Linked DNA regions of Canis lupus familiaris. The protein of the gene in region 2 interacts with the protein of the main gene of each other region in a biochemical or structural test. Links are inferred from orthologs where the notes say so. Each region holds a gene or a part of one and is shown on either strand. Other genes may lie near its edges.

Evidence for each region.
Region 1: the proteins of ubiquitin carboxyl-terminal hydrolase 17-like protein 6 (region 2) and CDK6 form a complex in vitro, tested with the Homo sapiens proteins (3 studies listed by BioGRID, with this or other methods). The link is inferred for Canis lupus familiaris from reciprocal best matches to the Homo sapiens genes USP17L2 and CDK6.

The regions. Positions count from the first base shown.
Region 1 is NC_049235.1:18,374,615-18,379,013, forward strand, and holds the start of CDK6 (cyclin-dependent kinase 6), read right to left. Parts: upstream 3,046-4,399; 5' UTR 2,894-3,045; intron 2,261-2,893; exon of another isoform or gene 1,934-2,260; intron 1,654-1,933; exon of another isoform or gene 1,445-1,653; coding exon of another isoform or gene 1,318-1,444; exon of another isoform or gene 955-1,317; coding exon of another isoform or gene 302-954; exon of another isoform or gene 59-301; 5' UTR 1-58. Other genes in the region: uncharacterized protein LOC102152579, read left to right, coding at 302-954, 1,318-1,444. UniProt on the Homo sapiens protein: Serine/threonine-protein kinase involved in the control of the cell cycle and differentiation; promotes G1/S transition. Phosphorylates pRB/RB1 and NPM1.
Region 2 is NW_023330959.1:17,724-21,500, forward strand, and holds ubiquitin carboxyl-terminal hydrolase 17-like protein 6, read right to left. Parts: upstream 2,130-3,777; coding exon 522-2,129; downstream 1-521. Other genes in the region: ral guanine nucleotide dissociation stimulator-like, read left to right, coding at 3,136-3,248, 3,516-3,624. UniProt on the Homo sapiens protein: Deubiquitinating enzyme that removes conjugated ubiquitin from specific proteins to regulate different cellular processes.

The DNA.
Region 1 (4,399 bases), on a different chromosome or scaffold from region 2:
ACACCGAAGCGATTACATAGTCTCTACCCCTGCGCGTCTCAGTCCACAAGCCTTCCACCTAAAAGAAGAGACGGGAGGACAAGAAAAAGTGCAATCAGACATCCCGGGCGCCTTCCTCCGAGTTCCCGCAGACTCCCCTCCTCCTACTCCATAGAGCCCCCATCGCTACCCTCGGCGCGCTCCTGCCCTCTCCCAGGCTGCTTAATCCTTCCTGGTTCCTCCGAGAAAAGCGAAGTTACTTTTCTTTCCCTGCAGAGCTGGAGCCGTCTTCGCGCAGAGAGGTTGCAGGGGCCCCTCGGGGATGAGCGCGCGGCGCGGGACGCAGTGGAACGGGAGGGGGCGTGCCGAGCAGCCCAGAGTGTGCCGGGAGCGCGGGGGAGGGGAGGTGCCGGGCACGTCAATGTCACGGCTTAATATTTATCCCTACATCATTGTGTTGCACTGCTACCCACCCCGCCCCCCCGGGCCTGGGCGTGCAGGGAGAGGGGCTCCGGGGTGCCGTGGGGCTTTCGGGGGTTGTGCCCAAGCTGCTGTGGAGGGGCTGTGGGTCCACCCGTGTGGGGCTGCCGAATGTGGGTGGGGGCTCCCGGGACCCTGTAACCCGATGCTGGGAGTGTGCGAGGAGGGGTGGTCAGACATCTGCTGGGAAATTGCTTCCTTTCTTTCTACTTTCAGTTTTTCTGCGAGGAGACATTTAAAAACGACTTGCACACACAAATGGTCTTTTTGGGGTAAAGAAGTCTGGACTGGAAACGAAATTCTTCCTCCGACTCGGAGGACCTCCCTGGTGGAAACCCATGAGGTCGGGGAGGGCTGGGGCTCCCGCTACTCGGGAGTGGAGGAGCGGTGGGGCCCCAGAGGGGGGAGTCGCCCAAAGGACCGTAAGGGTGGGAGGACGGGTTATTCGTCGCACTTTGGCTTGTCATCTCCTGAGAGAGTAACTGCGGGAGGAAGGTAGCGTAACCGCGACTCGCCCTGAAATCCTCAACTAATTTCAACCTCATCAAAACCCAACCTCCTCTTAAAAAGGTTGGGGGTGGGAGGAGTAAATGCCAAGCCTCGGGGGTGAGAGAGAAGGGGCTGCGCCCTGGGCGCCGGGACTCCGAACCTTTCCCCACTCCCTGGAACTTCTCCAGATCTTCTGGATCTGAAGTTGCAGAGGTGGCTGCTCCATTCCTCCCTCCGCTCGAGGCCTGGTCTCATCAGGCAGGGGCCAAACGCGCCCCCCGACCCCCCGACCCCGCTCGGGGCCCTCCGCACAACACAGTGCGGGGGTGGGGAGGCAGGGTAGGGACACGCTTTCCCCTCCCCATTCAGTCGTAATCCAGGGCCGCCGCGGCCTCGGCGGTACATTCGCCACGCCGGCCGCGTGTCTGGAATCCCCGGGACACCTCGGAATTACCTGCCCCGCACCGCCGGCCGCTCGCCTCCTGCCAGGAGTTAAACAAATGGCGCGATCCCCACGGCGTGCTGGCAGAGGGGACCGCAGCGAGCGCAGGGCCCCTCACACTCCATTCAAAGCTCTCCTTAAAAGGTAAAGGCGAGTCCCGGGGGAGAAAGGACTGAGCCCCCCAAGAGCCTGCGCGGGGGTCCGAGCCAGGCCTAGGGCCACACAGGTAGCCGCGGAGCCGCCGGCCGCGCCGCCCGCCCGCCCCTCCCGCATCCCCCTCCCCGCCGCAGTCCGACCGGAGGCTCAGCAGCTCCGGCAGCGCCGCGGACGTCCCACCCCCGCAGGGAGCTGCGCCCGCTGCCCCCGCCCGGCCCCGCACCGCCCGCCCAGGCTCCCCCCTCCCCCCCGCTCCCCGGACCGTCGGCTCCGGCGGAGAGAAACGGGAGCAACAGTGCCTTTTCCCCCCCTCTCCTCCACTTTTTTTTGTTGTTGTTGTTGCTTTCCCACGCTGGCTGAATGTGACTTGACCCCATTTCAAAAAAGTTTGACATAGTGCTTCAACATTTCCGCATTCCTCCGCGACTACAAAGGCTGCAGCCGCCTCCTTCTGCTTTCTGTCTCTGCTCTCTGTCTTCACACTCAATGAAATCCTTCATGTGCCTCTCCCGAAGCCTGCCAAGCACCGCAAGGGTCGCCACCAGCGCAGCGACAAGAGGCCGCACGGGGACCACGACTCCCGCGTGTGCGCACACGCAGATGAGCCCCACGTGCACACTGTGGGGCGCGCTGCGGGGCCCGGCGCTGCTCACCGCGGGGTGTGCGTTCTAACTCGGATACTGCAAATTAATAAAAGTAAACTGGGAAGCTAAACGCCAACGTGCGTCCTTGTGGGGCTCCAAGCCCGTGCACTGGCCGCCTGCGTGCACTCCTCTAAGTGTGCATAACACCCCCGCAGGGGAGGGGGTTCCAGCAAGAAGCCTGCGTTAACATTGATCTCGTGGTGGAGAAGGTGGAGGCCACACCCACACCTCCGCGAGCTGGAGAGTGAGCTCCGGTGGGGAAATGAACGTGGGGCACGGAAGCACAGTGTCCCGCATGGAGTCCCCCCCGAGGCAGTGCATTTTAAACTCTAAAGGGTAGATTATTCTTTGAGGGTCCGAGCGGAGTTTATATTCCGCTTTAAGGAGCCTGATGAGTGCGTGGGTGTTTGCGCGCACGGCTGTGTGGGAGCAGCACCGGATCTTAGTGTTGGGGGGTGTCCCTGGTATGGGATGTCCTTCCCTCGCCAGATTAGGAGAGAGTCCTCTAACTCCCCAGGACTGGTCCCCATCCCTAGCCCGCCTCGGGTCGTAAGGGGTTAACTACAGCCGATTCCGAAGACGTACACCCCCCACCACAGTCACCTCCACCCACACCCCCGCTTCCGACCCCGGCCAAGCTCCCGAATCTCCCCCGGGGACCCCCCACCCCGCAGCCCACCCACCCGACCGCACTGCTCCTCACCTGAGGGGCCCGGCCGCGTCGGGCCTCCGGGGAGGGCTGCGAGTGTCTGTGCGACCTCCGCACGTGTCCACCGCGCGCCGAGCAGGTAACCGGCTCGGAGGAAGGAGGTAGCGGCGCTCTCTCCCGCGAAGGGGTGGGCACAGCGGCGGAGGGCGGAGGGACGGCGGAGGCACGGCGGAGGGCGCCGCCCGCGCCGCACGCTGGGGGCGGCCGGGGGCTGCGGGGCGCGGGCCGGGGCTCGGGGCGAGCCGGGGCGGGGGCGCCCCCCCCCCCCCCAGGCCGACTCTGCCCGAGACCCACCCGGAGGCGGCGACGGGGCTAGGGGCTCGCTGCGCCGAGGCAAGCAAGTGTGCAAATTAAAGCCTTCCGGAGAGAGGGGAGGCGGCGAGCCCGGCTGTGCTCCGGGTCTCCACTCCCCAACGCTCGGCTCCGAGTGGGGGGCGGGAGGGCGGCGGGGGGGGGGGGCAGTTAAATGAAAATTTCCGGCTTTCGCTGCAACTGGAGCGAGGGATCTTGCAACTAAAATACGAGGCGTGAGAGGGAGAGTGGGACGTGTCGTCGGGAGTCCGCGGAGTTTCCAAACCCAGGGTCGCCGGGAGTTGGGGTTTTGACAGAGTGAGGCGGGGGGACCAGCAGGCTGTGATGTGGCCGGGTGGGAAAAACACAAAACAACCAACCATAATTATGAGGGGCCGGTGGGGGTGGGAAAGACCAACACTTTCCAAGAAACTGAAAAATCAGACCAAAAAAATAACTCTTCTCTATTTAAAAAAAAAAAAAAAAAAAAAGTCTGGCAGGGCGCCTTGCAGAAAAGAAAATACTAATCTGTCCAAGCACTTTTCACTTTCAGCATGAGCTACATTTGTTTTGTTTTCCTTCGCTTCCTTTCGGCCTCACAAAGCCCTATCTTTTCCTTTTGGACAGAGGATAGGATTTGGAAATTGTCAGGCACTCTGTGGTTAACGACGTACTTGAAGGGGCTCGCGGGTTCACAATTATTAAGTGGTTAGCAATTGCTAAGGGTTCACTAAGGTGTTTCTGGGGAGCTAAAAAGACTAAAATTTAATATAAATATCAGAACTGCAAGATAATGGATACACACACACACACACACCCCAAACAAAGAGAAGAGAACGTGATTCAGTGGGTGCTCAGTTTAAATGCATTATTGGAATTCTGAAATTTGAAACCTTGTAAGAATGTATACTTTACCTGCTGAGAAAACCTGAATACAATTATTGCAGGTGAAAATGAGATTTTTGACAAAAAAAAAAGCCCTCAAGACCCTGCAAAGGAGTAAATCCTCCCCCCAAAAAAGCTGTTTTTGTTTTTTTTTTTTTGTTTTTTTAAGAATCCAGTGTTCTCTAAAGTCTGTATCTGTAGAATACTTGAAACCCTTTTAAACATCTTAAAGCAAAGTTAAAACATTTATTTATTTCAGATCTCTAGAAGAACTGAAATCCAGCGAAATACTGTTTGAATTGGAAATATTAACCTCAATAAATT
Region 2 (3,777 bases):
TAAGCACTTAATTTCCTTCCTACAATTTCCAAGCATTGACCAAGACACATCGCTAGCAAGACCCAATACATACTTATGTGTTCAGACAAAATTCTTTCAATATAAATAGAAGAAAAGCATTGGGAAGTGGGGACCATGACGAGAGGGTCAAACATACTGACTTCAACCCCAGGTCCTCAGCATCATATCCACTCTCAACCCTGACTGCTCACTGCCTCTCACCTGCAAGTGGCCCCCACTCTCCACAAGGCTGAAGGAGAGGCAGGTTCCTGGATTGACCCCATATGAAATCCACACTATCCCAATATAAGATCATGACAAAGACCCAGGTTTAAATATCAGTGTCTCCTAGTTTCAGTTGAAGGCCATATCCCATGAACACACCAGATAGATGGTTCTTCCATACATACAGAACACACACTTCACACAACACAAAATATTTCCAGTATGGGTCTGTGTTCGGGTTTGGAGTGTGTGAGTGACGCTGTGTGTGTGGGTGTGTGCGCCCATGTGCACCAAAGTTAGGAGACACATCCCTGGACTGCTTCCCCAGAACTCTGTCCCTTCTTGCTCGTCCTCTTGGTAGGTCGGGCTCTCCCTGGCACACGCGGGACTTTGGCCACGTCCCCGGCCACCTGAGGTGGGAGCATCCCAGCCGCAGTGGTGAGCAGGTCGACGGTCTGCTGAGGATGATTCTTCGGCATCTCAGGTCTGTATTTGGAGTGGTGAAGGATGACTGCGTTCGCAGGAAGAGCAATTTCTCTTCTCCTGACATTAAGTTCAGGCTTAGGGCGGTTGCATTCTTGGAGGCATCTCCACTGGTCTAATGTCATTTGTTGCCTTGAGGTCTCTTCCCCACGCTCCTCCAACTCAGGAAGGTTCACGGAGGGATCCGTTGCCGGCTCTCCTGAGGCCTCACCCACCACTGTGGGGTCTGCCTCGGGAGATGCGAGTCCTCCCTCTTCGACTGACTCCCTCCCAAGGTCTCTCTCCAGATCAGTCTTCTGCATATAAAAGAGGACATAGGCAGGTTGGCGCAGCGCGCAAGTCACATCACAGGCGCTGACCTTAGCATCATCCATTTTATACCACTGGCCATTTCCTGCCTTTACGAAACAGAAGTAATGTCCGCTGTGGCAACTCCTCCCAGCGTGCACCAGCACGGCATAGAGCACATAAACCAAGGGTCCTGCCCTCTGCTCAGACAGGTAGTGTTGCATGTCAAGGCGCTCAGGATATTGCACCTCCTTAGTCATTTTGTTGCCTGTCAAGTCTGAGAATCGTCTCAAGACCAGGATGAGGACCTTCGGGGAAGTGTGCAAAGTCAACACCTTGGACGCAGGCACCTTCTCCAGACACTTACTACAATGGTAGGCATTTTCACCTTCCAGCAGTTCGGGCTTCACCAACTGCTCCAAAGCTTGGCTGACGCTGTGAGCATCCCCGATGTCCAGGCTGATGTCCAGGTAAGGTTCCAGAGTGCTCGAAATGCCTTGGCAGTGGAGACACTGGATTTGAGACCTCCAGTACCCCCCAAAGAGTTGCTGGATGAGGGTGCTGTCCTGAGGACACTCAGGGTCTGAGAGCTTGTCCTCAGGCAAGCATGCTTGCTGCATTGCATCCAGAATGAACATGAGATACTCATGGGCATCTTCCTGCTTGTGTCTGTGGAAGGCGGCGAGCAGGAGTGGCAGGGGCCGGAGCACACGTCCAGGATGGCAGAGAACCCACATCAGGTGAGCCTGCAGGGTACACAGCATGCAGGATGTCTGCCTCCTACAGGTGGTCCCGTGCTGCTGGGACAGCATGTAGCTGGCGAGGGGCTCTGTGTAGGTCAGACACTGTAGGGTCGCATTCACATAGCAAGTGTTGCCCATGTTCTGAAGCCCGGCTCCCACCTGGGAAAGGCTCTTCCAACTCAGAGGCGTCTTGGTGGGAGGCAGCCCTGCTGATGCGGGAGCCAACGGGTCAGTCGGGGAGGAGAGCGTCTTTGATGCAGGAGATGTCCTCTCGGGCACAGAGGGTCCTCCGTGGACTTCAGCACCGCCTCTCCTTGACCAGTATGACTGGGGTTTGGGAGAGGCGCTGAACTGAGGCTCCTCTGAGGGGTGGAGGTGGGCAGCCTCCATGTCTGCAGAAACAGTGTCCACAAGATACATTCAACCAGGAGCTTCAGGGTCGCAAAGGGATGCTCCTCTCACTGATGCCAGTTTCCAAATGTCAGATAGTGAACCTCACCTCCACCTTTATGGCTTTTGGGCCCTGGGATAAGGCACAAAGTCCTCTAATCCACTCTAATTGCTTGATTGGATTACGGGATTTGGGTGTGGTCCCTCCCTGACGGAGACCATTCAGGTCAGCCCAGCTCCTATTCTTGCCTCCCACAACAGGCAACTTTCAGATTATTCTCAACCACCTCAACTGTCCCTGCACCTTTCTCAACAGAATTTGTTCAGAGTTTCTATGTTCAGAGGAAACCTTTTTGAATGTCCTTTCCTTTGAGTAACCCCAAGGGAGCCAAGGAGTGTTAGACGTTAGTGCTCTAGGACAGGGAAGATCACTCTCCCAAAGGAGCTCAGGTATCACATAGGAACTCGTTCTCCTCACCAGCAGAATGTTTGTAGCTGAAACCAATTATTTGGGAATATGGCATCCATTGCTTGGCTTCTCCACTTCTATCTCTCTGGACTATGATTCCAATCTACAAAGATTGTGAATGTTTTGATGAATACCAGTTTCTGCCTTGGTGTGGCCCGGGTCCACCACAACAGGAATTCTCTCACTGGTTTAATGTTTTTGGGAAACATTCCTTTGAAACTCCCTTTCCTACAAGAGTCTATATCCTAAATCCAGTGTTTATATGCCTCATTTTACCTGTACAAGACCGCGGGACCTTGAACACAAGGCACCAAGCACCAGATGCCCGGTAACACACTGGGGTGCAACCTTCCTTCCCCTTGCCTTGGGCTCCAGGAGGCTGAAGGAGAATGTGGAGCCGGGGAGTCAGCGGGACCAGCGGCACCAGGCTGGGCTGTTGAACCAGGCTGAGAGGGAGAAGGCAGGGAGACGAAGGTGAGGAATGGGGCTTGTGACCCAAACGCCAGGGCTGATACGACAGACCCCGAGTCCGTGTGCATGCACAGTGTGCAGGGCGGCTGCGGGCAGAGCCAGGCAGGGCGAGGCAGCCAGAGGAGCTCCCAGGCTAAGAGGGGCCACATTTGGGTGATGGAGCTGTCCCTGCTGATTTGGTGTGGGGTTTGTGGCTGGAGCAGTGTCCCTGCACCAGTGAATGTATGGAGCTTGGCACATGCCAAGGCAGACCCTTTCAGACTCTGTATGTAAGAAACTGCCTGGACGACCTGTTCAGCTCCCTGTAGTTAGGACGAGGGGCAGAGGTGGGCGTAGATTGGCTGAGGACGGAAAGGACCAGGTTGGCCCAAGCCCCAAGCAGGTGTCCGGCTGGAAGCCAGGGAAGGGAGTTCCTACTCCTTTCCCTGCTTTGATTTCTCGTGCAGGCAAGAAGCCGAGCAGAGGAAGGGCCTGCTCCACAGGTTCCCCAGGAGACCCCAGGAGGGGCAGAAGCGCACCTGGAAGGAAGACACGGAATCTTGTGACTATGTGAGGGTGAGTGTGCGCTGCTTCCCGGGCTGTGCCCTTGGGGACTCCCTGGGCTCCATGGGCCTCCTGGTGGAAGCGGGGCTCCACTTCCTCTCTGACCAGTGGCAGTTGAGTAGGGTGGATTTGCACCCAGTTTTCCCTTGGTGCCCATGATGTTGC